Elephas maximus indicus: one gene and its partners. The protein of the gene in region 1 interacts with the protein of each later gene in a biochemical or structural test. Links are inferred from orthologs where the notes say so. Each region holds a gene or a part of one and is shown in the gene's direction. Other genes may lie near its edges.

Evidence for each region.
Region 2: of the proteins of MAP3K7 (region 1) and IKBKB, one has a biochemical effect on the other in vitro, tested with the Homo sapiens proteins (5 studies listed by BioGRID). The link is inferred for Elephas maximus indicus from reciprocal best matches to the Homo sapiens genes MAP3K7 and IKBKB.
Region 3: of the proteins of MAP3K7 (region 1) and USP4, one has a biochemical effect on the other in vitro, tested with the Homo sapiens proteins (2 studies listed by BioGRID). The link is inferred for Elephas maximus indicus from reciprocal best matches to the Homo sapiens genes MAP3K7 and USP4.
Region 4: the proteins of MAP3K7 (region 1) and USP29 form a complex in vitro, tested with the Homo sapiens proteins (2 studies listed by BioGRID). The link is inferred for Elephas maximus indicus from reciprocal best matches to the Homo sapiens genes MAP3K7 and USP29.

The regions. Positions count from the first base shown.
Region 1 is NC_064819.1:154,409,798-154,418,134, reverse strand, and holds the start of MAP3K7 (mitogen-activated protein kinase kinase kinase 7), read left to right. Parts: upstream 1-5,127; 5' UTR 5,128-5,344; coding exon 5,345-5,464; exon of another isoform or gene 5,465-5,746; intron 5,747-8,337. UniProt on the Homo sapiens protein: Serine/threonine kinase which acts as an essential component of the MAP kinase signal transduction pathway. Plays an important role in the cascades of cellular responses evoked by changes in the environment.
Region 2 is NC_064840.1:58,150,557-58,157,999, reverse strand, and holds the start of IKBKB (inhibitor of nuclear factor kappa-B kinase subunit beta), read left to right. Parts: upstream 1-4,355; 5' UTR 4,356-4,513; intron 4,514-5,169; 5' UTR 5,170-5,187; coding exon 5,188-5,292; intron 5,293-7,443.
Region 3 is NC_064838.1:53,785,490-53,793,715, reverse strand, and holds the start of USP4 (ubiquitin carboxyl-terminal hydrolase 4), read left to right. Parts: upstream 1-4,795; 5' UTR 4,796-4,858; coding exon 4,859-4,959; intron 4,960-4,987; exon of another isoform or gene 4,988-6,082; intron 6,083-6,944; coding exon 6,945-7,072; intron 7,073-8,226.
Region 4 is NC_064829.1:89,425,366-89,432,809, reverse strand, and holds USP29 (ubiquitin carboxyl-terminal hydrolase 29), read left to right. Parts: upstream 1-4,089; coding exon 4,090-6,888; downstream 6,889-7,444.

The DNA.
Region 1 (8,337 bases):
GTTAAACATCAAAAAAGATAGTTAATGAAGTTAGTATAACCTGCATTTTGTCCTTAGGTGGAAATACATGATGGATTACACTAGTTTAGGGCAATAAAATGAATGAGATAACCTGCAAAATTCCCAAATAGGCCTGTTTTCTGCTACATGATTAACTTATTTGGATACATCTTGTTATGAAAATTTCAAATGTTAAGAACTGTATAGTGAAAGCTATAAAGAACAGAAGTTCCTACACATACGCCCCCATCCATCTTCCTAAGAAACTACTGTAGAGGTAACCACTATTGATAAAAAAAAAAAAAAAAAAAACATTGCCATCAAGTCGATTCTGACTCATAGTTTCATTTATATATTGAATATACCATGGACTGCCAAAAGAATGAACCAATCTGTCTTACAAGAAGTACAACCAGAATGCTCCTTAGAAGCAAGAATGGTGAGACTACATCTCACATACTCTGTACATGTTATCAGGAGGGATTAGTCCCTGGAGAAGGACAGCATGCTTGGTAAAGTAGACGGTCAGCAAAAAAGATGGAGACCGTCAAGGAGACGGACTGACAGAGTGGGGCTCGAGCATAATAACAATTGTGAGGATGGTACAGGACCGGGCAGTGTTTCGTTCTGTTGTATATAGGGTCATTATGAATCGGAACTGACTCAATGGCACCTAACAACAACAACAACAGACTTTCTACCATGCATATATAAGTTGTATATGTATAATGAAATAGGATCCTACTCTACATGCTGTTTTTAAAATTTTATTTAATTTGAAAATAGTATTTTTTCTTTCCATATCTGTACATATAGAGCTAACGCATTATTTTAGTAGCTGCATAGATTTTTATTGCATTTGTTCATTCAATAAATATTTATTAAGTGGTTATGAAGGTATACACAGGTTAATAATGATTCAGACAATAAATATGTAAAGAAAACAAATTACAAATTGTGATATATGCTATGAAGGAAATGAACAAAAATAATCAAAGTATCTGGAATAGTCAGAGAAGGCCTAAGAGGTGAATTTTAATGTAAAGCCTGAAAAATGATAAGGATCCAGGTACTCCAAAAGCAGGATAGGAAAGTATTCCAGGCAGAAGAAATAGTGTTGCAAAAGTCCAGAGGTGGTAAAGAGTTTGGCTTATTCTAGAAACTGAAAAGAAGCCTGTGTGACTGGACCTTAACATGCCAGGGAGAGGCAGGCAGGAGCTGAGTATTTTTTCAACTCTAAACAAATAATTTCTTTTATAACAATTAGTACAAAGCTGGTAACTATGAGGTGGAGGTTAAAGATGTCCCAAATGTCCAACTTTTCCAAGCTGCTATACCACTCCATCATCTCTAACATCAACTACTCCCTCTCCCCTCAGTACTCTCCCTCCCATCTTTGGGGTCCCTAATTCACTGCAATGCCTCACAGAACTCCCCAACCATATAAAGGAAATGGCTCATGAAGTTGTGGAGGCTGGCAAGTCCCAAATTGTGGGTCAGGCATAGGCTTCTCCTGACCCACGTGGCTGCAGGAGCTGATGAACCCAAATTGGCAGTTCAGACCACAGGCTGTTGGCTCACAAGGTTGCAAAAGGTGGTGAATCATGTTGTACAATAGGCCGCTGGCCCAAGTGGCTGGGGAGGCCTTCGAATCCCAGAATTGGTAGGTCATACAGCAGGCTTCTGGGGAGGTCAGCTGATCACAAACTAGACAGGGGATCCAGATGCAGGGAGAAAGAGAGCCTCACAAGGACACACACATAGGTCTCAGATGCAGTCCACACCCCAGGAAAGGGTGTAACTTTAGTAAGGGTGGGACTTGAGTCACAAGATTGTGACCCAAGACACACCTTCCACCAACTCTGCCTTATTAACATGTAGAGGTCAGGATCCACAACACATAAAATGGAGGACAACCACACAATACCAGGAACCATGGCCCAGACAAGTCAACACATAACCCTAACCGTCACAGGTTCCATACACCTTATTTGCATAGTCCCATTCAATAATTGTGTGTGAGTCACAAAGGCCAAGGCTAGAAGGGCCATATTAAGTAATTCATTGCACCGTAAATTCCAGGCACAAAATGTCACAGAGTTTTAAGCAGGAGAGTGATATGATCATGCTGGAGACTTTAAAACATGATTTTGGCTGATATATGAAAAACTGACTCAAAGCAGTCAAGAGAAGTACTAGTCTACATATAATCCTCTGTTGATTGAGGACTTGATTCTACTTTCTGCCTGTTATAAACAATAGAAACAATCTTTGCCTTTTTCTCAACAAAAGTGAAGGATGTGCCTGTTTCCTTTCACTCCTGTCTCCTGTAACATAATTTTTTCAAGACAGATTATTCCATCGATTTATCTGCTTCTATTTGATCATTAGTATACTGAGCATCATTTCAGCAGCCCTGGTGTGCAATGGGTAAGTGCTCAGCTGCTAACTGAAAGGTCGGGTATTTGGGGTATTTGAATCCACCAGTTGCTACTCGGGACAAAGACCTAGCAATCTGCTCCTATAAAGGTTACAGCCTTGGAAACTCTATGGGGCAGTCCTACTCTATTCTATAGAGTTGCTATGAGTTGGAATTGACCGGATGGCAATGGGGTAGGTTTGGTTTTGTTGTTGTTGTTTTGGAGCATCATTTCATATGTAGAAATAACATCCTGATTTCTCACTTGGACAACTGAGTGGGTAACGGGATCCTTAACTGAGACAGGAAATGCATCGGAAGAACATATCTGTATTGGCGGATGGATTCTGAATTAGCTTTGCCATCTTGAAATTAAGGTGTTTGTTGCACCTAAATAAAAATATCCAACAGGTTCAGAATTCAGAAAAAAATCTGAGCTAGGTAATGAAAGTCATTACAAAAATGGTATGAGAAACCAAGACCCTGGGTAAGATCATCCAGAGAGTATATACACTGAGAAGAAATTATTTCTTCTTTCATCCTTTTATCCATTCACCAAACTATCATTAAGTGTCACTAGAACTACAAATTGGAAATGACAGAATGCTTTCTAGTTCATAGCTTCCTGATTGCTAAATCCAATCACCTATTTATAATCAGAAATGTGCTTAACTTACTTATTTGCTTACAACTAAGGCTCTGGTGGCACCTTGGTTAAGAGTTATGCCTGCTAATCAAAAGGGCAGCAGTTCGAATCCACCAGGCACTCCTTGGGAACTCTATGGGGTTGTTCTCTGTCCTATAGGGTCACTATGAGTTGGAATTGACTTGAAGGCAATGGGTTTGGTTTTTTTTTTTTTTTTACTTACAGCATTTATTTGGTTTACTACTCCTTAATTGAACAGCTCTCCTCCTATGCCATCCAGGTCACCACTCCAGTCATTTTGCTTTTTCAAACCATTCCTTTTCTGTTTCTGAGGCTTAGAATTTGACATTCACAGGGTTCCGTCTTGGTTTTTTTTTTTTAACACAGTGCTCCTAGGTGAAAGAAAAAAAGAAAAACCAAGCCCGTTGCCTTCATTCCGACTCATGGCTCGCCCACGTTACAGGGAAGAACAGTTCCATAAGGTTTTCTTGGCTGTAATCTTGACAGAACCATACCACCAGGCCTTTCTACTGCGGTACTACTGAGTGAGTTTGAACTGCCTGCGTTTAGTAGTTCAGCATAAACCATTTGTACCACCCAGGGGCATGTGGTCACATGAGCTGGAATTGACTCAATGGCAACAGTTGCTTATTTTTTTAATCACAGGAAAGCAGATCACTAGGCTTTTCTTCCCTGGCACTGCTGCGTGGGTTCCACGCACCAACCCTTTGGTTAATAGTCAAACACAGATTTATCCCACCCAGAGACCTGTTCCTAGGTAAGTTCATCCAAACCCACTGCTCCAACCACCATATATAATTATCATTTTTAAGTCTCTAACTCCAAAATTCCACACTTAGGCTTCAAGTCAAAGTAATAAAGTTTTAACAGCTTAGTTTAATATTTTTTGGTAACACAACGTAAAGTACGCTGGTGACACAGTAGTTAGGCACCTGGCTGCTGAAATGGTGGTGGTTCAAACTCACTAGCTGCATGGCAGTCTGCTTCCATAAAGATTTATAGCCTTGGAAATCCTATGGGGCAGTTCTAGTCTGTCCTATTAGGTCACTATGAGTTGGAATCCATTGGACAGCAATGGGTTTTAACCCAACATAGACAATGCTATTCGAGTTTTAGCACAACGTAGACAATACCATTTGCCTTAGAGACAGATTGCATAGGTTTTGGATCAGAAATTCTTTTAATCTCTCTGAATTTATTTTCTCATGTCCTGTAAATGATGAAAAAATATTTAACTTGTCATGGCCATTGTAACGATAAAATTATAAATATAATGAATCTAACATAGTGCTCTGCACTCGATAAATGCTATTAATACAATCTAAAACGCGAGATGAACATGTCAAATTATGCCAAATTATAAATATCTACCTTATCTAAATGTGTTAACTTTGTTATACCAATATGTCATCTTCTTTTCGTGAGCACTCAGCCTCCAGAGCGTTACTTATGTTGAATACGCTGACCAGCTCTGTACTATTAACTTCTTCAGACTCTCTCTTGGTATCAGGGACTGGTTTAAATAATAGCCAACCGCTCCCTCCACGTTGAGGAAAACACGTTTTGCGAGGCTTCTTAAAGATACAGTTTAGTTTAGCTTCGGTTTAAAACGAAAAGTGGGCTTTGTCGTAAAAACTCGGTCCTATACTGCTCTGCCCGTCTGCAGGCCGCTAAAAGAAGATGGAGTGGAGCCATGACGCAACTCACAAACAGTGGGAACCATAGTTTTTATCTTTCCCGCTGGTTCCTAAAAGACCAACGGCACTCATTGGCCATCAGGCTTGTGTCACTTCCGCTCGCGCATTTTAATTATGTCAGCGCATCAACTCTCGCGGTAACATCCGTCTCCTGAGCCTCTTTAGCAAAGATCTCGCGAAATTTGTTTTACAGGTTCAAGACAGGCTCTCACCCGCCCGCCCCCCGCCCCTGCGCCTTCACCCTACCCCAGCCTGCCCTTCCTTTCTCTTTCCCCGTCACGAAATTCTCCCCTCCCCTCCCACGAACCTGCTGCCCCCCTCCTGTTTCCGATTTTAGACCGGAACCGGAAGTCAGGTGGGCGGGGCCCGGCGGCGGAAAACGCAGCGGAGCCGGAGCCGGGACACGGCTGTGGCCGCTGTTCCTGCCCCCGCCACGGATCGCCGGCTGGCCGGGCTGTGCGGCTCCAGACTGAAGGTCGGTCCGGAGGCGGGTGGGCGCGGGTCTGCCCCGGAGTGTCTGGGTGGCAGACTCTCCGGGCCCCTCGGGCGCGGCGAGGGATCATGTCTACAGCCTCTGCCGCCTCCTCCTCCTCCTCGTCTTCGGCCGGTGAGATGATCGAAGCCCCCTCCCAGGTCCTCAATTTTGAAGAGATCGACTACAAGGAGATCGAGGTGGAAGAGGTGAGCGAGGCCCGGCACAGAGCGCCGTCTCCGGCTCGCCCCCGCTTCTGCCGGATCCTGGCTCTGAAGGCGCCTCCCCGGCGGGGTCGAGCCGAGATTCCCCACAACCCCTCGGAGACTGGGTGTGGGGGGACTCTTCGCGCTCAGCTGCTCTGAGGTAGCTCTCTTTTTTCCTCACTTCGACACTCGAGTTTGGATTTGATACTCCGGTGTCTGGATTTGGGTCACTTCAAATAGGAGGATGAGCTGGTGAGAAAGTGTGGTCCACCAGTTCTCATTTCTGTAAGTAGTAAATTCAGCAAAGACCGTGGCCGTTTCAATTCTCTACATGTTGTGTTTTTAAAGGCCAAGGATTATACTATATTCGATTTACAGCTCAGTGCCTGGCACATAGTGGGCGCTCAATAAATGCTTATTAAAGTAGTAGATGAAGTCAAAGTGTTTCCGCAGGTACCGAATGATTCTGTTTCGCTGATATCATAGAGCAGTACTCGTAATATTAAATGTTCTGCCTTCAGTTGGGTAATTTAGATGAATTCGCCATTAGTAATGTACGCTGGTCTGTTATAATGAAAAGATGTTTTAAGTAGCATGTTCTGGAGAGAGAACTCATGATCTCGGCGACAGCTAGAATATATCACCAGATTAGAAATTGCTGTTAGAAGACCTGAATCCATTCTGTATTCTTCAATAATTTAAGATATTTTAGAGCGAGATATTTTAGTGTGCCTTTAGTACGTTACTTCTGTTCACATTCATAGAGGGGCGATTGGTAATAAGGACTGTGAAATTTAGGAAAGTAAAAGTGTGTGTATATATTTTAAAGACACTTTAGAATGTGTTTTTAAAAACTGGTTGAAAATGGGATGTATCAAATAGTTACCATTTATTTATCCTTTTAAAAATGTAGTGATTTTATTTTTATTTTATTTTTTTTTATACTATAAAGAACTCAGCATGTCCTGTGGACATGTTATGAAATCTCAGCGTTATCTCTACTGTAAAAATCTAAAATTACTTTTAGGTTACAGCAAGCTAAAATTAGTGAGATAATTAATGTTCACCAAATAAATATATCTTTTCCCTATTCATGTTTTGGAAGAATAATGAATTACTAAATCATACATTTTTATTACTTGAAACAACCTAGAGATCATTAAGAACAACCTTCATTTTTTTTTTTTTTTACAAGGTAGCACAATGGGAAAAACAGGATCTTTTGACTTAAGAGGAAAGTTCAGTATGTGAGATGTGCCACGTTAGCTATGTGGTTTAGGGCACATTTCCTAACTAACCCCTTTGAACTTTAGTTTTCTTAACTGTAAAACAAGGATAATAATTTCTATTTAATTTTATCTGTATAACAGTCTTATTAGGCAGTGTATGTGAAACACCCAACACGAGGCCTGACACGTATTACTAGGAAACTGAGTTCCAGAGAGGAATAGTGACCTGCCTTAAGGTCACAGGGCTAAAAGAAGATCTGTGTTTTGAAAAGAGAGGAGAATTTTGTGTGTGTGCTTTTTTTTTTTTTTTTTCCGATTGAGGCTATGATAAATTCCTTTTCCAGAAGTGGATAGTTGATCCAGCTTTCATGGCTAACATTCTTTTTTAAGAATAAAAATTCAGTGAGTCAGTATACAAGAATTGCAGTTTTTAAATAAGCATTTACGTCTACTCTGTCTACTCTGCGGTAAATTGGCTATGCTTGTAGACTACAAATTGTTATGTAATAATAACTTGTACTTTATGGTCTACCAGATTCTTTCAGAGGCTTATTTTCATTTGATTTCGACAGCAAACTTAGTTTTTGCACATTACTTTGTAAAGCTTTTTGTCTTCTTGCTTTATGGAAGAAAGGAAGTTACTGAGACATTTTTCATTTTGCTGCTCTTCCCCCAAAGCCATTTCACTTCTGATTAGGTGTTTATGTTTCCAAAACCTTTCCTTCAATTTAGATAGTGCTTCAGCCTTCCTTTGGTGTATTTAGGATATCCTGGGGCGTAGACTTTTGCTTTTTGATAAAAAGTTCTTTCTAACATTAGGCGGTCGTTTAGTTTTGATTTTTTAATACCCAGTTTGTTTTCATATGAAAGATTGAATTAGGACCTTTCTTATGTTGAGGCCATTACATAAGTTCCATCATATTCTTCATTTGCACACATTAAAAGTGTTTGATATAATCCAGGGTGCACCTTAGGTGCTCAATAACTATTTCTGAATTTAGATTCCATTTCTAGATTAAAATCATTATAATAGAGGATGATCAGAAACAAAAAGTATTTTATTCCCATTTAAAGAAAATCATATCCTGTATTTCTCAGATAACAGTGTAATTGAATCAGCATTATATGACCAGAACTAGAAAGTACATAAAAAATAACTCGAACCATAGACCAGGTATGCAGCCATTTAGTAGATGCATATTTCTAAGGCATCAGCTAATTTTAATCCTTAGATTCCTAATGTTGTGACTCAGAAATTTCAGTTCGGCATTTCTTAAATGCAGTTCTGTTGTCACATTATGTACATTCTCAGCCTTAGAAATCTACCTTTTTTTAGTGATTTAGTTTTTATCATTCTGGATCTGGGTGTAGAAAATGTTAGAATAAATTGTGAGGGATGTACATTGTGGACCAGGTTGCAAGAAGTAAAGGCCGTGTGGTGTAGGGAAAAGTATTTTGGACTTGGTACTTAGAAAATTTAGGTGCTGTACTGATTCTGACACAGTATTTCTATAACATTGAGCAAGTCACCTCGTTTTCCTGGGCCTCTGATTTCTCATGTAAAAATTGAACAAGATCATTTAAGGTCTCTTCCAGTTCTAAAATGAAAATCCGATCATTGTTTCCAGTGTTGTGTGTTGTTTCCAC
Region 2 (7,443 bases), on another chromosome or scaffold:
GTCCTTCTCCAGAAACTGGTCCCTCCTGATAATATGTCCAAAGTACGTAAGATGAAGTCTCACTATCCTCCTTTCTAAGGAACATTCTGGATCTACTTCCTCCAAGACAGATTTGTTTGTTCTTTTGGCAGCCCATGGTGTGTTCAATATTCTTCACCAACACCATAATTGAAACGCACCAATTCTTCTCTGGCGTTCCTTATTCGTTGTTCAGCTTTGCATATACATGAGGTGATCAAAAATATCACGGTTTGGGTCAGGCGTACCTTAGTGCTCAAGGTGACATCTTTGCTTTTTAATACCTTAAAGAGGTCTTTTGAGGAAGATTTGCCCAAAGTAATATATTTTTTGATTCCTTGACTGCTGCTTCCATGGGCATTGATTTTAGATCCAAGTAAAATGAAACCCTTAGCAATTTCAATATTTTTTCTGTTTATCAAGATGTTGCTCATTGGTCCAGTTGTGATGTGTGGTGGCCCTGCCCTTTAAAAAACCAAAAAACCAAAACCTGTTGGCATCAAGTGGATTCCAACTCATAGGGACCCTACCCTATAGTCACTGCTCAATAGCACACAGCCTCAAAGCAGGAATAAAAAGGAATGTTTTTCTGCTGCAGCTGAAAATATCTTTTGAAACAGTCCGCTCATATCCTCCAGAGCAGGATTGCTAGCAGATGTAGGCAGTGACGTGGACATGTCTTATCTGGAGGGAAAAGAGCGTTTAACATGATAAATATCTTGGGACATGATAAAACCCAGAGGCCCCTTCCTGAGCCATCACCCTTTCTTTTTAAAAATCTAGTACTGCATCTGACCTCATCAGAGAGATTTATGTTCGGTTGAAAACTAAGTTATTTTGAGCTGAACAAAATGAGAACTCTTAAAGTTGTACAGTGAGGAAACCTTTGGCATATCAACGATGCCTCCCTAAGTTTCTCATGGACAGTGATTTTTCAGTAGTGACAGAATTAAAGAGAAACCTTTCATGGCATCATATGGGAAAAAACAGACTCTACATAGGGCCCAGCACATACAAACCAAAAAACCAAACCCATTGCTGTCCAGTCTATTCCAATTCATAGCAACCCTATAGGACAGGGTAGAACTGCCCCTTAGGGTTTCCAGGCAGCACCTGGTGGATTCGAACTGCTGGCCTTTTAGTTAGCAGCTTAGCTCTTAACTACTATGTCACCAGGGTTTCCGGTAGTGCCGTGCATATTCTTAGTGCCTCACATATTCTAAATACAATATAGGTACTTGTATAATAAATAAATGAAATATTTTGAGCGCATACATTTCATTTATTTATTATACAAGTACCTATATTGTTTTTGGAATATGCAAGGCACTAAGGGCTTTACCTGGGTGGCACAAATGGCTTGAGCTTGGCTATTAACTAAAAGGTTGGTGGTTCTAATCCACCCAGCAGCACCATGGAAGAAGGTCCTGGGAATCTACATGCATAAGATTATAGCCACCGAAAACGCTACGGAGCACAGTTCTACTATGAAACACACGGGGTTGCCATAAGTCAGAATTGACTTTATTACAACAGGTTTTTTTTTTCTTTTTTTTAAGAGCTTTATAGAAGGTGCTTTACACCACCACCCATCTCTCAGGTTGTCATATTGTGGTGGCCTACTTGTTGCTGTGATGGTGGAAGCAACGCCCCTGGTATTTCAAATACCAGCAGGGTCACCCATGGTGGACCAGTTTTAGCAGAGCTTCTACACTAAGACAGACTAGGAAGAAAGGCCTGGTGAACTACTTCAAAATTTAGCCAATGAAAACACTATGATCACAATGGAATATTGTTAACATAGTACTGGAAGATGACCCCCTACGTAGCGTTAACCTTACTGTAGTGGGCCCAAGATGGAGTTACTTACGCTAGCCCCACATTAGCAAACCAAAACCTAGCCAGTTTCTACTCCTGTAAATGCTTGACCTTCTCAGTGTTACCGGAATAAGGTTCTTGCCTCTTACTGGTCAAGAACGAGCAGGTAAGGCACGTAGAGTTTTCCGCATGAGCAAAGCTTTATTGAAGAGGTTTGCAAGCGGTGATATGGAGGGCCTAGAGCAACGCTACCCTCTTAAAGACGGGCCTGAGTTTTTAAAAGTTCTTGGGCGGGAAAAGATTCATGTTTATTCACAGACACAGGCGGGGACATGTTAACGAAGGTGCGCACACAGCAGCTTTCCAAGACGGCTCCTGTCTCAGAGCCCTCTGGGATTTGTGGGGTGTCGTGCCTGCTCAGTCTCTCGCTCCCTGGGTTCAATTCCCCGGCTGGGGCTGTAGCCCCTCTCTGCCCCTGGTGGAAGGTCACACAGCAGTCACAGGTGGATGTTCTGCGCATGTCCCTGGGCCTGGTTTTCCCAGCTGCTTCTGAAAGGCAATTTTAAAGAAGTTTGCAAGCTATTTTTTGATACCCTCTCCCATTGTTCTGGGGAATGGCTTTGTTTCTGTGCCCTGGCCCATTTCTTGTTACTTTGTTTCCACATTTGGGGGCCCCTCCATTCTCTGCCTTACTAAGTCTCTAGGTTCCACATTCAACCCATTACCTCCCTGATAGTATAGTCTATTTCTCTTTTACTTGCTTCTCCTTTAACCACCCCAGTCCCTTCGCTATTTCTCAAACGGGCACCCTCCGATCTCAGGGCCTTTGCTCCCTGTCTTACCAGGAGCCAAAATCTGAAACTAAAACCTAAGCTAGCCAATTAGGACTTGCCTGCTGAGTTTAATCTAGTTCAAAATTGCCCCTTTATCCCAAATAAAGAAAGAAAATGCCTGCCAGCCAATTCAAAATTTGCCTAGTGTGTCTTCCTTGTTCCTGTGTGTCTGTGACAAAATAACCCTTTTGCTTTGTCCTGCTCTTCAGAGCGCTTGTCAGACTTGCAGACCCAATTTTCATGAACTGAAAAATAAAGCTTGTGAGTTTGTACGCAAATTTAATATTGTGGAAGCTTTCATTTGTAACAGTTGGAAGGCACTCAAAATGCACAATAACTGCAACAATGAACTCAAATATACCAGTGATCGTGAAGATGGTGACATTTGGTTGTGTTATACATAAGGTCACCGTGAGTTGGAGCTGACTGGAGGGCAACTAACAACAATAACAAGCGCTCTACAACTATTTGCTCAAGTAGTTGTTGGTTGTTTGGGTGGACACCTGTTCCTAAGAGTTAAGATCAACCTGCTGGCTCTGTTTAGGTGACAGGCATGTCCTCTGTGCCAGGCACTGCTTTCACCATGAGTTCATCTGTTCTTCTCCACAACCCTGCTGGCATCTCCTCCTGTGACTCTGTGTCCTCCTGCTGCTATTAAGCCGAACTAAATGAGGTTGCTGATCTTTGATCGTTGTTAATGTTTCAACAAAACGACAGTTCTAAATGTGCATTTTTTTTTAAAGGCAATCTCATGCAATTCAACCTAATATTGCCTCCATTTTAAAGAGAAAACTGAGGCTTAGAGCAATTAAGTAACTTGCACTAAAGTTTTAGAGGTAGTCGGTAGCAGTATCTGGATTCAAAATCTAGTTTGCCTCCTTCTGAGCCTCTTAGCACGCTACTTTTAACCAAATATTAAGAGCATGGGCCCAGGAAGGAGCCCTGGTGGCTCAGTGGTTAAGAGCTACAGTGAGCTATGGCTGCTCACCAAAAAGGTCTGCAGTCCGAATCCACCAGCCACTCCTTGGAAACTCTATGGAGCACTTCTACTCTGTCCTATACGATCGGAATCCACTCGTAGGCAACTGGTTTGGGCCCAGGAACCAGCTGCTTGGGTTTGAATCTCAAATCATTTATTTACTAGCCCTATGACTTTGGGATAAAAACTTTTCCTCTCTGTGCATCAGTTTCCTGCTCTGTAAAATGGTGACAATAGTAACACAGCTATTATCTAATTTATAGGGTTGCGGTGAGGATTAAAAGAGGAAATCTAAGAGTTTAGGACTGTGCCTGGCACTTAGTAAGCACTCTATAAACTATTATCAGGGTCCTTTAATCTCTTTTCTCTCTTGAGTAAAATACACCAACATACAAAAAACTTCTTTGTCTACTAAGATTAGGACTGAGAAACTCACTAGTAGAGGACCTCATGATAATGCCAAGCAGGTAGGAGATGAGCCTCAGAGTTGAGACTCCCCACATCACTGAGACTGGAACTTTAGTTTAGCACTACACTACTGGATTGGATTTTTCTTTCTGGGGGGACGGGGCAGTCACCCGGGCAGGGGTCGCGGGGGGGACCCAAGCTCCGCGCGGCCGCCGGTGGGCACTGGGAGTGACCCGGGCTTGCTCTGCGGCGGCCCCTTTAAGAGCCGGTCGCAGGCCCACGTGCCGCGGTGACGTCAGAGCAGGAAGTGTTTGAGGAAGTCGCTCTCTGCTGGCTGGGTTAGGATTCCCGCATTTTAATGTCTTCGGGGTGGTGTCAGAGCCCCCGGTTGTGCTGCCCCAGCCCCCATCTCCCCGGCCCGGGGAGCCTTTCCCCTGCCAGGCGTCCCTGCCGACAGGTGAGTCCCGCGGGCCGGAGGGAGCGGAAGCCTTGCGGTGCCCACCTGCGGACCCCGCGTCTTCCTTGCCCCGGTCGGGCTCTCCATCTCCTCACTAGAGGCTGCCGTAGAAACTTTCGTCGAGTTTAAAAATCAGGTGTTTGCCGACATGGAAGTGTTTCCCTTTAGCGGGTTGGAGTTGGGAGGCCCGGGAGAACAGCCTTGGCCAGAGGGGTTCCAGGTGGTTGCTTAGAGGTGGGTGGCATTGAGAGAGAACCGTGATTCTCTGGGACCTTGTAGAGGCGCACGTGACCGTGGTGGCGCGCAGAGCTAGATCCCCTCCCTGCTGCTTTCGGGAGAATGCGGGCACGGAAGGGGATCCCCTCTAGAGGTCATGGGGTGTGGGGCATCACCTCAGTTGAGTGACTTTCCTCTCTACTTCCTTCCACAACAACTGGAGGGCGGGTGAGAAAGACAGAAGTTTACTACCTAAAACTACAAACAAACAAAAAAAACCTGGTTTATTTACAAGATAAAAACCAGTTCAGTTTTTTTTTTTTTTTTTTCCTGTCGTATTGAAGGGCAAAACTTATGCCCTGCCTTCTCCATCTCCCTGAGCAGGAACTTGCCCCGTTTTTTCTTAACTTTTTTTGTCCTTCACCCCGAATTACTTACAGAGTTAGCGCAACATCAATATGAGCTGGTCACCTTCCCTGGCAACTCAGACATGTGGGCCCTGGGAAATGAAGGAACGACTTGGGACAGGGGCATTTGGAAACGTCATCCGATGGCACAATCAGGTAGGGCTCTGTGCAGCCTGGAAGAGGCAGGGGTGGGCAGAGGGCTGGAAGAGCGGGTGTCGGGTTCACCTTTACTGTCTCAGGGCACTTGCAGATTTCTGCCCCACGTTGTTCGGGGTAGGTGAGTGGGTTACACTTTTTGCCCTGAGCTTCTTGGGAGAGAGTGAGAAGGGGGATAGGAAGGAGGCATCAGGACTGCTAAGCTGACTCTAGGTTCAAACCTGTTGCCATTGAGTCAGTTCTGACTCATAGCGACCCCGTGGGACAGAACAGAACTGTCCCATGGGTTTTCCAAGGAGCAGCTGGTGGATTCCAACTGCCAACCTTTTGGCTAGCGGCCAAGCTCTTAACCAGTGCACCATCAGGGCACCAACTCTAGGTTAGTAGTTTCCAAATTTTATTGGCCTTAATAAATAATAAAAAAGTTTAAGCTCTCAGCCTCAATTATATGTATTTTAAGTTATTTATACCAGAAAACGAAACCTATTGTTGTTGAGTCAATTCCAACATATGGTGACCTTATAGGACAGAGTAGAACTACCCCATAGGGTTTCCAAGGAGCAGCTGGTGGATTCGAACTGCTGACGTTTTGGTTAGCAGCCGTAGCTCTTGACCACTGCACCACCAGGGCTCCATTTCTGGACTTAAGGGATGGGAAATTGCTCATCTCTTCCCAGGAACCTGGCTGCAGCGAGCAGAGTGGGGCGTTGAGGCTGCTGGCCAGCCATGTCAGGCGTTTACTTCAGACGGCCACCCTTCTTTATCACTTAGTTGATAGACATTCCAGGCCCTGCCTGAATCCCATCAGCTCTGAATGGGCAGAGCAACCCCTGGAGGGATGTCAGAGCTGGAGCTGGAGGGCAGAGTACAGTTTTGCAGGTGGTAATATTCTCTCTCCCAATGTGGGAACTAGGGTTCCAACAAACCCTATGGCTGAGGATGCCTGAGAAATACAACTGGCTCAAATTTGTCCTGGTCAGAGTATAGCCAGGGGCCTAGCAGTAAAAAACAGAAGAACCTGATCACTCTACCAAAGCAGAAAAAAAAGACCCATGGCCGTAGAGTCAATGCCAACTCATAGTGACTCTACAGGACAGAGTAGAACTGCCCAGTAGGGTTTCCAAGGAGCTGCAGGTAGCTTTGAACTGCAGATCTTTGGTTAGCAGGTAAGCTCTTAACCACTGCTCCACCAGGGCTTTGATCATTCTGCAGCCCCACAGAATTCTCGAATTCTGTCATCTCTAGCTCAGAATGACTTCTGTATGCTCTCTAGACTTGGAAAGTCAGGATATTGCAAGGTAGAATTTGTTTCCAGCTTTATCAATATGGGCCTAAGAACGTGTTCCCGTATGTATGGATTAAACCAAAAAAAACCAAACCCGTTGGCCATCGAGTTGATTCCGACTCATAGCAACCCTAAAAGACAGAGTAGCACTGCCCCATAGGGCTTCCAAGGAGCAGCTGATGGGTTCGAACTGCCGACCTTTTGGTTACTAGCTGAGCTCTCAACCACTGTGCCACCAGACCCCTGTGTATGGATTAAAAACCAAAAAAAAAAAACAAAAACAAAACACATTGCCGCTGAGTCCCTTCTGACTCATAGCAACCCTAAAGGACAGAGTAGAACCGCCCCATAGAGTTTCCAAGGAGCACCTGGTGGATTTGAACTGCTGACCTTTTGGTTAGCAGTTGTAGCGCTTAACCACTTTGGCACAGTTTTCTAGAATTACTCCCATCCCCTGCTCAAAAACCTTAATTTGTTTTTTATTTTTACAAAGCCGAACTCTTCATCCTGTCGTTTGAGGCTCCTCCACAGTCAGGTCCCACCCTGTCTTTCTAGCCTCTCCTCCCTCTTGGCTCCTGACAGGTTGGTTGGCTGAGTCCTTTCTCTGGGACAAGCATCCTTCTCAACGCCTTGACATAAATTCTGCCCGTCCGTCCCTCCGGCACCAGCTCTAGGCCACCTCCTCCGTAAACCCATCACAGGCTGCTTCATTCCATGGGAATTCGTTTTTCTGTTGAATTCCTTCAGCTTCACTCAGTTGGCATACCTCATATGCTGCCATTTTGTCTGTGTGTAGCAGTGTGTCTTGTCAGGTTCCTAAGTTCCTGGTCAGCCAGGGCTGTGTCTGGCTTTGGACTGCTTTCAGT
Region 3 (8,226 bases), on another chromosome or scaffold:
ATGGCCACACATAGGCCCCACAGAGGTGTGAAAGGCATTCTAAGTCCATGGACTTCTTATGTCTTTGTCTAGGCAAAATGGCTGTGCCTTCGCTGAGTTCCCATTAAGCCAAATATTATCAGTGGAGGCTTGCAGAGCCACCACTATCTACAGTGGTTGTATACCTTGTCTAGAGTCATCTGTTTACCAGGTGTCTGCTGGCAATAAGCCTTCCCCTCTCTTGGAATTGGGGGAGGAGACTCTGGTGGCACGCTAGCCTGTGCTGGGGAGTCATCTTGATATGTCACTGGACCAGTACAGCCTGTAACTCTTGGGCCAATGGACTGATGGAATGCACACTGCACTATTGCATGTATGCATGCCATTTGCTCAGCGTAGCTGTCTGGATGATAGATGATGACAGCTTGGAAAACAGCCTGTTGACCCACCCATTTAAGGGCAAAGTTGTGTGAAGGGTTATAGCTCCAACCCCTATTAACAGTTCCACCTGGTGGAGAGCATTATAGGCCACCGACAACTTTTTCTCCCCGGGACTGTTATCAATTTTCTGCCCTTCCCCATAGTTGGAACCAAAAACCTAGGAGGACTGTAGTTTCATCCTGATCTTGTTATAACACCCAGTCAACGCTGTTCTCGGTGCTGCTTAAGTCAACTGGAAGGGTAATCCTTCATGTATCGCACCTAGTGCTTTCACTTGTGCAACAACACCTTGCCTTCTAGAAAGCTTGCTGGTTCATTACCCCAATCCCAAGGGGGACCCTTTTTTACCAGTTGATAGAGTGGTCTCAAGCACTGGTCCAAGTGGGTAATAAATACTCTCCAATACCCCAAAAGACCCACAAAGGCCTGCACTTCTTTTGGTGTCGTGGAAGGGGGGGAAAATTTATATAGTATCATCTATGGTTTCCCTAGGAATTTTACCAATGTTTCTGGCCCCTGCACCTTTTGGGGATTCACGGCCCATCCTCTCCCCTGTAGGAGAGTGATTAAGATGTCTAGACAGTCCTGTAACAGAGAAACGTCTTCAGCAGTTAACATAACATCATCAGTGTAATGAAACCAACAAATGGTAGCAGGAGAGGGGAAAAAAGCCAGATTCCAAGCAACCAAATCATGGTATATAGTGGGACTATGTAAATACCATTGGGGTAGCACTCAGAACGTCCATTGCTGTCCCCCTCAGATGAAGGAAAACTGGTCCTGAGCAGATGGGGCAAGAAGGATGATAAAGAACACATTGGCCAGGTCTCTACTAAAAGTTTCCAAATAGGAAGTTACATTTGGGACTGCAGCATGTGTAGGAGGGATCGCCTTGTTCTCCATAGTACACAGTCATACTCAATGACCCATCTGACTTCTTCACAGACCATACAGTGCTGTTAAAACCACAGCTGGGCTTTCTGGGGGATTACCTACCCTTTTCAATTCCAAAACGATTTCACTGATTTCCTTACATCCTCCAGGCACCTTATATTGCCTGATGTCTACCACTCTTTGTGGTGGAGACAGGACTACTGGTTCCCATGCTGCTTTTCCCCTCAAGACTGCTTCTACCACCTTCACCTGCAGTCAGAATTCTCCCACAGATGTGATCAAACTTAGTCCCATGAGGACATCCACTCCTAGAATGTATTCTGGTATTGTGGAAACACAAACTTCATACAATTTGGGGGTAGTACATTCTACTTGTAGGGTCAGGAGTACCTGATGTATGCAGATGGACTTTCCACCATACCCATTGTCTTTATTATCTAGTGCTGCTATAACAGAGATACCACAAGTGGATGGCTTTAACAAAGTGAAGTTTATTTTCTCACAGGCAAGTAGGCTAAAGTTCAAATTCAGGGTGTCAGCTCCAGACAAAAGCTTTCTCTCTGTGTCAGCCTTCTCATCAATCTTCCCCTGGACTAGAAGCTTCTCTGCGCAGGAACTCCAAGTCCAAAGGACACGCTCTGCGCCTGGCACTGCTTTCTTGGTGGTATGAGGTCCCCCTGTCTCTTTGCTGGCTTCTCTCTTTTATATCTCAAAAGATTGACTCAAGACACAATCCAGTCTTGTAGATTGAGTCCTGCCTCACTAACACAACTGCCATCCATCCTCCCTCATTAACATCATAGAAACAGGATTTACAATATATAGAAAATTACACAATACCAAGAATCGTGGCCCAGCCAAATTGATAGACATTTTTTAGGGGACATAATTCAATCCATGACACCTGTCAATTGCCAAGGGGGGTCCTTGAACCTGTTCAGGGTTTCCAAAGATAGGGGTGCATTCTGCCCCTGTATTAACCAGAGCTAGCACCCCACTGCTTGTTTTGTGACCTCTACATGGGGCCTCTGGTCCCCCTGCAGGCCCCTGACCTGCAGGTTACCTCAGCCCCACCCGTAGACCTTAGGGATTGGCAGGATCTACCTGGTGGCAAGGGGCACTTCTTCACAGGGGAAAGTGAAACCCAGAGGGCAGTATTATTGCTCTGGCTTCAGATTCTTCCAAAGATTGACCAAAACTGCATCTGGTTGTTTATCTGTCTTTTCTACTGTGGTCCTGGCAGCCACTAAGTCCATCCATATCTGCTTCTGGGTTACTTCCAAAGGGCCCTTGGACAATTGTCTTAGAGGCTTTTCAGCTTTTCTTTTTTCTCTTCCCATAAGGAAGCAGGCAGTGGGATCCAGAGGGTGGTATAGTTGCTCTGGTTTCAGAGTCTTTCAAAGGTTGACCAAAACTGCATTCAGTTATCTTTTCCACTGCGGCCCTGGCAGCCACTAAGTCCTCCCATATCTGCTTTCGGGTTACTCTCAAGGTGCTCTTGGACAGTCACCTTACAGGGCTTTCAGCCTTTCTTTTCGCTCTTCCCACAGTGTGCAGCCCCTTCTCTCTAGCCCTGTCAGTTTCACCTAAGTTGGCTATGGCTTCTCCCACCGTAGACTGCCTGGCCCACTAGGGACGAACTATAGCCACCAGTGTTCTGTACCAGGCAGGCAGGGCTGGCTGTTGGATCTTTCCTATCATTCCCACAGTAAACAGTTCATTGTCTGGTCCCCAGAAGGGTTCGGCATAAATGGCACATACCTAGCTCCCATATTAGTTGCTGTAATCGACTGTACTAGGAAGATCTCCCCCATTTGCCCATGCCTTTCTACAACACAAGATGATCCAATTACAGAAAGTGTGTATGCCCTCTGTGTTCTGAGCTGCATGTAAACACTGTCGGTGGGCGGGGTCAGTGGTAATATAACCTGTTTTTTCTGCCTCAGCTGCCTTAAGAAACACTGTCTCCCCTGATATCCCACAGATATAATAACCAAGCTGCAATGGTTTCCTTTCCTTTGTGCTGGAATTCCACATACAATTCAATCAACTCAGTGAGGGTGTATTCCTGCATTGTCACAGAATTGCTGGGTAGAATTTCTTGTCTAGGGTCATCCCGCTTGCAGGTAGTTTTTATCTTATGGGAGGGGAAAGCCATGCTCCTCCTCTAATATCACCACCACCTGAGTCACTACCAGGCTTGTCATCCCAAGAATTTCATGTTTTCACTTCCCAGTCACCTTTCATCAACATTGCCCTGATCTTCACATTTGGCACTTTCCTTCCCCCCTCCCCCATCTTTACAAACCTGCAGGCAAGCATTTCTAGTTGCTCATCCTGTTCGTGGACACAGCTGCTCAATATGTTAGTCATGGCCACGTGCGACTGCCGCATATCCCTTTCCAACTGTTACTCTTCCTGCAAAGCTCCTATGTGTTCTTCACCAGCTAGCTGGGTGTCAGTGGCCAGCCGAAAGGGCCAGACCAGCGGCCACCCTATGGCCCCTACTGTTTTCCTAGCTTCCGTTCCACACTTACGAAGGCGTACATCTTCCTGCAACCAGGCTATGCCGCTTAGCATTTTCAGGGCATCCCTACACTCACCGGGAGGTCCACACACATCAAGCATACAGCCAAACCGTTCCACATGGAGGTTGTTGGCCAACCTGGGATTTCCCCCCCAGAGGCCTCACTCCCACTTGCCATTTCTTCAGTCTCTTGGCTGGCTCGCTAACTGTCCTGGCAGAGACCAACAACTTAAAACTTGTCTTCAAAAACGGAGGGTGCTTGCTGAGAGCGGCAGGCAACTCCAGAGTGCCAACAAAGGAGTTTCTTAGGGAGACTTACATGCGAGGAACGTCCTGGGCAGCAGCATGACTAAGCAGATCTCCTCGCCCCGTGGTGGGGGACAGGGCTTTTCTAGCGGTGGCGAACAATAGTGGCTACATGCCAGGGACGCCTCTAGACTTACATAAGACCGCCTCGGCAAGAATTACAGAAGAATGACTTAGCAAACGTTAGTGAACTAGCAGAAAGCAGGAGTGCGGCCTCGCAAAGCCTGTTTCCCCTTCAACATAAAAGATGGCAACGTTGCGGGTCCCGTGCCACAGCAGAAGCGAAAGTGAGAAAATCTAGTCCTAGGGCTTCTCAAACTCAACTCCACATTTACTCAGGCCCAGGATAACCCCTCAGGTCAGAATGAAAAACGCACGGGGTCGTGAGGCCCGCCACCTGACGGACTGCGCGGAAACACAGAAAAGAGGGGCGGCGCAAAAAGCAAGCGGCAAGGCAGGCGGAAGCGGCAGCTCCTTCGGCTTCTACCCCTTTTCCGGCCTCCTCCCGGCTCCACAGCGTCTGTGAGACACGACGGCGCGGCGCGTGGGGGTGGGAAGAAAAGAAAGAGGCGGGCAGGCGCGCGAGGCGGTGCCGCGGGGCGGGGCTTGGGCGCGTGCACGTGTGTGCGTGCGTGCGTGCGTGGGCGCGGCTCGCCGCACGCTGTGCGCGAGGCGGATGTCCGGGCCGGCTGCGCCGGGGCCGCGGATGAGATGGCGGAAGGCGGAGGCTGCCGTGAGCGACCGGATGCGGAGACCCAGAAATCCGAGCTAGGTGCCTTGATGAGGACCACGCTCCAACGGGGGGCGCAGTGGTAAGCTGTGGGCCCGCCCTTCTACGGAGCACAGCTGGGCGCAGGAGCCCCGGCATTCAGGCCCGGCCCCTTTCAGCTTGGGGAGGAGCCGGACGGGGGCGGTGTCTGGTGATCTTGAGAGGGTGGCCTGACCCCCGCCCCTTGGGAGAGGAACCCTGAGATCGGTACTGGGAGAGCGCGGCGGGACTGGAGCTCATACCGGCCCCTTCAGAGCCCTAGGGGGCGGATCCGCGGGGGCAAGGGCTGCAGGATGGGGAGGAAGTGGAGTGCTCACAGGGATCATGAGGGTGGGAAGAGCCCTGTGTCATCGAGGACTCCCCTTGTGACCCTGGGCGAAGACATTCGCTCTTTGTAGACATTGGTTCCTTACTAGTAAAAGCAGGGTAGCAATACTTGGCCCACAGCCCTCACTCAGTTGAGGCAAGGATCAGAAGTAGATACTCGTAACTTGCAAACTGCAGAACAGATGTCAGGGTCAGAAGCTGAACAAATGTCTGTGAGCTCTAGATTATTTTGATAACAAATGTCAGAAATAATTGTGGTAGCAGCATATTGGAGTGGGAGAGGAGGGTGGCCTGGAGCCTAGAGCTAGATAGAAGATTAGAAGTACAGAATTTAGAAGAACAAAGAAAGCTGAGACACGAGGTTTCTTAATAGATTGTTTAGTAGAAAAGGCATTACCTTCCAATAGTGGAGAGATTACTGGGTGGTATTGTGTGGGAGTAGAAAACAGGTTAGGGTTTGCAAAGAATAAGAATGAACTTCTGCCTTTAAGAAACCATGGTGGTGATGATAATGTCATTTATAGTGATAGAGGAATTGAGTTCAGAATAGAAATATTGAGGTTAAGAGGAGTTCAGATACAGCTTTACAGTGTTTATCTTGAGCTAGCCAAGTTTTAAAAGGCAGAGCAAGCAGAGGTACTTTGGAAGTTATCCTGTTTAGGGGTGATACATGAAAAAGAATACTCGGTGGAAGGAGAGGGAGTTTACGATAGACTAAAATCACACAAAAAGTTTGTGGAGGGTATTGCTTAAGGGGTTTGGAGAGAAAAGAACATTTAGAAGTTTGGATATATTTGTGGATCCTGTGGCCTCTGGGAAGCTGCCTGATCTTCTCTAAGGTTTGTTGGTTACAAAATTTGAAGAACTTATGAATATTTGTGTTTTGTTGCCCCACAGAGGTTTCTCCCTCCTTCTGTCTTAATCATAAAAGTGATACTTTAAAATATAACCAGGTTTGCTTACTTTTCTTAAGTATAAAAAACAATAAGTTAAATATGAAACACAGTTTCAGAATTTTTGATAAGATGAACACAGTAGACACTAACTTTATGTAAATGTGTATATATATACATGTTTGTTTACATGTGTATATGTGTACTAATTACACATATAAGTATAAATTGTATATATATGCATATGCGTACTATTTTAATGGGTATTAGAGGAAATTATTTGTTATAGTCTAGTCAGATATCATCAAGGAAGGAAGAAAAGGAGGTGCTTTCACACATTTTTAATATCTTGTTTGGTCCACTAAGGAAATCTGAAGTAGGTGGAACTATTATCCCATTTTCAGAAATGAAATCAATTTAATGCTGTTCACATTAAGCAAAGCAGTGCAGCCACAAACTGTCTGCCTGGATGAGGACCTCTGTAGAAATCGTATGGAATTAATGACCGGTTGATCGCAAACAGGATTCTACCCATAGAAAGACTTAATTTAAATAAACATTTTGAAGCCAATCATTTCCTCCCTTCCATTCATTCATTCTTTTAAACAGTCATTTCACTTAAGGGATACGTGCCCTGGGCCATGCCCTCAGTGCTGTGTAGAGCCTGGCCCTGCTTCTGCTCTTGAGTCTGTTTTTTAATGGGGGTTGTAAGTGACCCAAAAGGAAAGACCAGAAAAGAACGAGGGGATAGGCACAGAAACTTGTAATGCCAGCTTTTCTGCCACAGTAAGTTTTTGTCTGTCTCTAGGTATCTTATTGACAGCCGTTGGTTCAAGCAATGGAAGAAGTATGTGGGCTTTGACAGCTGGGACATGTACAATGTGGGTGAACACAACCTGTTTCCCGGCCCGATAGATAACTCCGGACTCTTTTCAGGTGTAGTATCCTATTGCTTTTTTAGGTAAAATGTCTACTTGGGCAGTGGCCCGAAGGTGTGTTTATCTGTAACATGGACTTTCCCAGCATGAGGAGATAGAAATAAGTATCTTCGATTTGTGTGTATATCAGAAGCCTGCAGACCCTCCGAGAGAAGTTGAACTGCTTTATTTCCCTAAATTAACTGCTTTTAACAAGAGCATGCTTTTAGCATTTTAAATTTCTCTCTCTCTCTCTCTCTTTTTTTTGATAAATTAGCTCTGCTAGAGATTTCAGCTTTTAGATTGGTATACGGGATAGAAAGAAATAGGATATCATTTTGAAATTGGACCTGGAATCTGAAACTTGGAAACCAGAGTTTTCTGTGTCACCTTTGCAGTTGAACAAATTGTAGACGGTCGATGTTTGTCAGGTATTCTTGTGATAACAGTGTTTGTCATAAAAGTAGAATGAAGAGAGGTGGAAGGTCGGTAGACAGAGTTGTGACCACAGTCAGCTCCCAGTGGGGACTATGGAAAAAATGATGCATGACACACCTAAAATTGGCTTGCACCTGTAGATGCACAAAGATGAGAGAGTCAGCCTTCCCAGGCTTTGCTCTGCCTGACTTCAGACTTGCTCACAGGCAGGACAGAGGTTATCTGTTACCTGTGCCCAGAATCAGGGCAACAGGAAGGCAGACCATGTATGAAGCTTGATCCAAGTACCTAACAGTAGCCTGGATATTTTTAAAAATGAGCAACACTGCAGCTCACACTTTGTCTTAGGGTTGGTCTAAATGACGTAATAAATCACTGCCATTTGGTTTGTTTCCTGATGGAGGCCAGAGGGTGGCACTATACCATGACATTGCCTTAGCAGTTAGGAAGCATTGCATTGTGTTTACTTTTTGCCCTTCACCTTGTTTTTTAGAAAAGGAGAGATTTTAAGGTTTTAAAACTAATGATGAGAATTCTCGAGCTGAAGGGACCCTCAGAGGGCATTTTGCATGGCCTTTAGCTAAGGGAGAGCATTCCTGTTGTGGTCCCCTGTTTTTATGTCACCTGCCTTTGGCTTGAAACATCTGCTCTATCTTGAGAGGCGAGAAGCACATTCCATTCAGACCCTGGAACATTCACAGTGCAGGAATGACCTATTGCTGGCACATGAGGTTC
Region 4 (7,444 bases), on another chromosome or scaffold:
GTTATGGAGTTGTTATACCTCTTTGTGGTTACCTTAACATTTACCCCTATTTTTCTAAGTAAAAACCTAACTTGTATTGTTCTGTATCGCCTTGTATCACTCTCCATATGGCAGTTCTATGCCACCTGTATTTAGTCCCTCTTTTTGATTATTGTGATCTTTTACATATTGACTTCAATGATTCCCTGTTATGGGCATTTTTTTTTTAATTAATCTTAATTTGTTTTTGTGATTTCCCTATTTGAGTTGATATCAGGATGTTCTGTTTTGTGACCTTGTGTTGTGCTGGTATCTGATATTATTGTTTCTCTGACCAAACAATATCCTTTAGTATTTCTTGTAGCTTTCGTTTGGTTTTTGCAAATTCTCTAAACTTGTGTTTATCTGTAAATATCTTAATTTCGCCTTCATATTTCAGAGAGAGTTTTGCTGGATATATGATCCTTGGCTGGCAGTTTTTCTCCTTCAGTGTTCTGTATATGTCGTCCCATTCCCTTCTTGCCTGCATGGTTTCTGCTGAGTAGTCTGAACTTATTCTTATTGATTCTCCCTTGAAGGAGACCTTTCTTTTCTCCCTGGCTGCTTTTAAAATTTTCTCTTTATCTTTGGTTTTGGCAAGTTTAATGATAATATGTCTTGGAGTTTTTCTTTTTGGATCAATCTTAAATGGGGTTCGATGAGCATCTTGGATAGATATCCTTTCGTCTTTCATGATGTCAGGGAAGTTTTCCGTCAGCAGATCTTCAACTATTTTCTCTGTGTTTTCTGTCCTCCCTCCCTGTTCTGGGACTCTAATTACACGCAAGTTATCCTTCTTGATAGAGTTCCACATGATTCTTAGGGTTTCTTCATTTTTTTTAATTCTTTTATCTGATTTTTTTTCAGCTATGTTGGTGTTAATTCCCTGGTCCTCCAGATTTCCCACTCTGCATTCTAATTGCTCGAGTCTGCTCCTCTGACTTCCTATTGCGTTGTCTAATTCTGTAATTTTATTGTTAATCTTTTGGATTTCTACATGCTGTCTCTCTATGGATTCTTGCAACTTATTAATTTTTCCACTATGTTCTTGAATAATCTTTTTGAGTTCTTCAACAGTTTTATCAGTGTGTTCCTTGGCTTTTTCTGCAGTTTGCCTTATTTCTTTTCTGATGTCTTGAAGCATTCTGTAAATTGGTTTTTTATATTCTGTATCTGATAATTCCAGGATTGTATCTTCATTTGGGAAAGATTTTGATTCTTTTGTTTGGGGGGTTGTAGAAGCTGTCATGGTGTGCTTCTTTATGTGGTTTGATATCGATTGCTGTCTCTGAGCCATCACTGGGAAACTTGTTTTTCCAGAAAATCTGCTGACTGGGACGCTGGCTCCAGGCTCCGAAAACAGTCGCTGCTTCCCCGTATTTGTTCGTTTTCTGTCTCTAAATCTGTGTTTGTTGTTCAGGGTTCGTAGATTGTTATGTATGTGATCGATTCACTTGTTTTTCCGAGTCTTTGTTGCAAGAGGGATCTGAGGTAGCGTCTACCTAGTCCGCCATCTTGACCCTGCCTCCTGCAGTAGTGTTTTGTTGTTTTGTTTGTATAGGCCTTTTATATCCCTGGTTAGATCTATTCCTAAGTATTTTATTTTTTTAGGGGCTGTTATAAATGGTATTGCTTTCCTGATTTCCTTTTCGTAGTTCTCTTTGTGTATAGGAATCCAACTGATTTTTGTATGTTTATCATGTATCCTGCTACTCTGCTAAATCTTTTTATTAGTTCCAGTAGTTTTATTGTATAGTACCATATCATCCACAGATAGGAGTACTTTTACTTCTTCCTTACCAATTTGGATGCTGTTTATTTGTTTTTCTTGCCTTATTGTTTTAGCTAGGACTTCGACTTCCAGCACAATGTTGAATAGGAATGGTGGTAAAGGGCAACCTTGTCTTGTTGCATGGAGCCGTGGTGGTGCAGTGGTTAAGAGCTTAGCTGCTAACCGAAAGGTAGGGCAGTTTGAATCCACCAGCCACTCCTTGAAAACTCTATGGGGCAGCTCTACTCTGTTCTATAGGGTCACTATGAGTTGGAATTGGCTCAATGGCAATGGGTTTGGTTTTTGGTTTTGTTTTGTTTTGTTCCTGATCTAGGGGAAATGTTTTCAGCCTCTCCCCATTAAGCATGGTGTTGGTTGTTGGTTTTGTATAGATGCCCCAAAATTATTATTTCTGAAACCTCTCTCTGTATTGATATTTGTGTCTCCCGCTTCACGTTTCAAGACCTGGTGGCATAGTGGTTAAGCATTTGGCTGCTACCCAAAAGGTCAGTGGTTCAAACCCACCAGTAGCTAAGTGGGAGAAAGATGTGACAGTCTGCTTCCTTAAAGATTTACAGCCTTGGAAATCCTACAGAACAGTTCTACTCTGTTCTAGAGGGTTGTTATGAGTTGGAATGGACTCCATGGCAATGAGGTTCTTAATATTTGTTTCATTCTCCATCTTTCAACCCGATCTTAATTTTACTAATTATTTGGCACGTCAGCTCACTGGGAGTTCTCAAAATCCATGTCTTTGCTCATACTATTCCTTGACTCAGAAATGATCATGGCTTCATGCCCTCACCTTCCAGCAAACCTAAGTTTATTTTCCTGGAGAAGTTTCTTACTCTCTGTATTGACATGGTTGGTTCCATGCCCAGCCTTTACCCCTCCCCATCCATCCTTCCTCATTGTATTCCAGTTTTCCTTCTTGTACCAACCATTCAGCCATGCAATTCCAAACACTAAGGGAAATGCTGACTCATCTCCAGTTGCAGGGTAGGGATGATTGAGGAAAGGGAAATTCCAGTAGGATGCTATGCACTGGCTGATTAAATATTTTACCACTTGTGATGGTTAAGGCTGTGTGTCAACTTGGCTGGGCCATAATTCTCAGTGGTTTGGCAGTTATGATGTGGTTGGGCAGCTATGTAATCATGTAATCACCTCCATAATGAGATCTGATATAATGTAATCACCTCCATGATGAGATCTGTTATGAGCAGCCAGTCAGTTGAAAGAGAGTTTCCTTGAGGGTGTGGCCTACATCCAATATAGGTGGACTTTCTGGCAAAGCTTGTGGGCTCACTCTGGATCCTGCAGCTGACCCCTGTTCATCTGACCTTGGTTCTTGGGACTTGAGCTAGCAGCTTACCTGCCACTCTCAGGATTCTTCGGCTTCCCCCATCTGTGAGCCAGAAGCCTGTTGTCTGACCTTCTGATCTTAAGTTCACCAGCCCCTGCAGCTATGTGAGACAGGAGAAGCCTCCAGCCTGGCCCATAGATTTGAGACTTTCCAGCCTCTACACCCTCTTGAACCAACACCTTCTTGAGCCATTTCCCCTCCTCTTGTCTCTCTCTACATACATACGACTTATACATATATGTGCGTGTGTGAGTATATATATATATATATATATATATATATATATATATATATATATATACTTCACTGGTTTTGCTTCTCTAGAGACCCAGCCTAAGACACCACTGTCAGAAGGATAGATAAAGACATGGATTCAGAAAGCGCTAGCTAAGCTAGTGTGCCAGATAATTAGTGGCACCTGGACCAAAGACAGATTCCTAGATGCTGCAAATGGTTTGTGTTCAGCTGCTAACCTAAAGGTTGATGGTTTGAATCCACCCAGTAGTACAGAATAAAGACTTGAAGATCTGCTCTCATAAAGATTACAGCCAAGGAAACCGTATGGGGTGGTTCTATTCTGACACACATGGAATCACCATGAATTCGAATCTACTCAACATCAGTGGGTTTTTCTGTTTTGGTTTTTTTTTTTTTTTTTTTTTTAACCAAAGACAGCATGAGCTTAAAGAAGGAAATGTTGGCATATAAAATGGTTAAGGGACATTGGGACAAGATTTTGAAATAATTGAATGAACAAGGAGGGTTCCTATAAAACTACACAAAGGCTTAACCGTTGTACCACCAAGGCTCCTTAAACTATTATTACATGGAGTTTTTCCATAAAACATCAGTAAAAAACATTTTGGGCTAAAGCTTATGTGTATATGTGTGTATGTTTTCTTTAGGTTACGTGTGTTTTATTTATGAATAAAGGATGGCTCCTCCAATGATACGTGGTTTTGCCCGAACTTGGAGCAAAGGGACTGGGATGACCAACCTGAAAGAAGCATTAATTCAAATGGTGGAAGGAGAGAAAGAAAGTAGACTGGTGGTCATTTTCAACTCTGGAAGAAGTACAAGAGTTTTCCAGCTAAGTAATAATACTACAAGTATGGTCCTTAGGCACTCCAGAGAAGAACAAAGTAGCCTGCATTTAACTTTCCCAAAAAATTGCTCCTTGTTCATTGACAAATTATCCTGTGGAGATGCTGAGAAGTTGAAGAAGTTTCTGGACAGAGTCCACCAAAAGACATCTCAACTACCCATGAAACCTCGCTGTGAATGGGTTATTCTTGGTGGTGGGAAAACACAGGAGAAAAGCAACAAAATCCCCTTTCATAAAGTTGGTGACAAGCCAAGTATTGAATCCTTTAGTCTAGAAAATGGAAGTGGAACATCTGTCCTTCAAGAAACGCCTTTGTTAATGTCCAAATCATCAACACTTGTCAGGACAGGGTTATTAGAAAATCCATGTGGCAAGAGGAAAAGAATGCCATCATCTGATGTAAAAATGCATGAGGACTTTCTGAAAGAAAATAACCCTGTGCTAAACAAGAAATCCAAGACAGATCCCTTGAAGTGCATCAGCAACAATAGGAAGGAACCACTGAGTTTAGAAAATCTAGAAAAGTGTAATAAATCAGAACTTGGACCTTTATTCAATGCCAGCTCTACTGGAAACCCTAACCTAGATGGGAATAGTTTTTCAACCCACCATCTCTCTGTTGAAAGAAGCTTGGCATTTCCCTCAGAACCAAATTGTAGCCAGAATGAACCAGGACAGAAAGAATCTCAGATGCCCTCTAACTCTCACCTACAGCAAAAACGGCAGGGCTTCCCCAATTTGGGAAATACCTGTTATATGAATGCAATTTTACAGTCGCTATTTGCAATTCCCTCATTTGCTGATGACTTACTTAACCAAGGAATCCCCTGGGAGAAAATTCCCTTAGATGCTCTTATCATGTGCTTCAGTCAACTGCTTGTTTTGAAAGATCTTTGTGACATAGAGATCAAGGGAGAGTTACTTGTGAATATTAAAAACTCCATTTCCTCAGTTGCAGCCATATTCTCTGACAACATGCAGAATGATGCTCATGAGTTTTTAAGCCAGTGTTTAGATCAGATGAAAGAAGACATGGAAAAACTAAATGCTTATATGACAGAGAGGGAAACTGGTGAAGAAATTTCCCACCCACAGATTTCTGCGGCTAATGCTTCCACTAAAGTGTTTGTTTGTCCAGTGGTCACGAATTTTGCCTTTGAGTTACAGTGCTCCATCATCTGTAAAGCCTGTGGTGAGGTTGTTTGCAAGACAGAACTAAGCAATTATCTCTCCATCAACCTTTCTGAAGCAAAGCAATCACTCCCTTCATCCATTCAATATTCTTTTGATCTTTTTTTTAAAGCAGAAGAAATTGAGTATAAGTGTGAGAAGTGCAAGCACAAGTGTTCTGTTGCAATGCACAAATTCACTAGGCTACCCAGGGTCCTTATTGTTCATCTGAAGCGCTATATCTTTAATGATTGTCGGGTTTTGGTGAAGGATAATCAGCAAGTTGGTATTCCTATATATTTAAGCTTATCCCCCCATTGCGATGAAAACACCAAACCACCTCTTCCCTTTAGCAGTAATGCACATATTGAGGACTCTCAAGTTCTTAAAGTCTCTCAAGAAATGATTTCTGGGACCACTAGCTCATGGATGTCTCCAATGACGTCGACCTCCACATCCAAGGATTTCCTGGTTCCACACATTGAACCAGACAAGGACACTGAACCACAAAAATGCCAGAGACTTTCTGAAGGATCAAGCCAAGAACAGCAGCAGAGAGACCCAGAAAATGACTCCAAACTAAATATAACAGAGTCCGAATTGGTCAACTCAAGAGATAGGACAGCCAGTGAGAAGGAATGGCCAGCAGCTGACTCAATGATTTATTGGGAAGACACCTCTCTTTCAGTGATCTGTGAACTTGGTGGTAAATTCACCAGCAGCCCAGTTGCAGGTCTTGTACAGGCTCATCATCAAGAGGTGCCTGAAAGCCCAGAACCTAAGACACACCAGACAACAAATGCATCTGTAAAGATAGAGTCTAACAGCATCACTCAGTCTACGGAAGATTTTTATGAGAATAAAGAAAACAGGAGTCCAGAAGAATCTCAAGGAGTGGTTAAGCAGCTCCAGCAGTGTGATGGGAAAAGAATCTATGAGAAAGTCCTTCAACAGGCACTGCCACAAAACCTCAGGAAGCCTGACGCCCAGGAACACACAGAGGAGGACCTCAGTAGATCTACAGAGTTAAGCCTGCTGAAGGATAGCCTGAATTCCCTCAGAGCATTGGGTTCTGGTGAGAACCCTGGAAACAAAGGCGTCTTAGGTATGGAGAACACAGAAGCTGAGGCTGAGGAACAGAAAAGAAATACCACAATATGGGATCCTCATCATGCCTACAGGCTCATCAGTGTCGTCAGCCATCTTGGGGACTCCCCAAACTCAGGTCACTATGTTAGCGATGTCTACGACTTTGCAAAGCAGGCCTGGTTCATGTACGATGATCTCAAGGCCTTGCAGATCCAAGAGGCCAATATGCAGAATGACAGGAGTTGCAACGGGTACATCTTCTTCTACATGCACACTGACATCTTTGAGGAGCTACTTAGAAAGGCAGAGACTTCCCAGTCACAGAGCACAGAGTCACTGGCGATGTTCCTTCATGGGGAACAAGAATAAGATTTCTCTTTGCATAGACTTTTTTGAGGACCTCACTCACGACCACTTGCTCCGTGAAAGGAAATTGCTGAACTCTCCCCAGAGATGGAGAAACAAGTAGCTCAGGATGAAAGCTCAAACAGACACATTTTGTTTGGGGAAACATTTGTTCTAACCCTGCTGCAGGCACCTCAGTCCCACAGCTCGGGCTGGCAAATGTCCTTCTCTCCTACAAGACTAGAATGATGATTTTCATGCTCTAATGCAGTGCTTTTGAAATGTTGTTTCTGAACAAGCAGCAGTAGCATTAGTGGGGAACCCATTAGAAATGCAAATTCTTGAGTTTCACTTCAGACCTACTGAAACAAACTGGACAAGACAGAGCAATCTGATGAACATTCTGATGCTTCAGAAAGTTTGAGAACCCCTGCTGTAGCATGTACAGTATCTTGGTATATTTTGTTACTGTACATGGATGGTACAAATGGTGAACGTGCTCAGCTACTAACCAAAAGGTTGGAGGCTTGAGTCCACCCAGAATTGCCTTGGAAGAAAGGCCTGGAGATCTACATCCAAA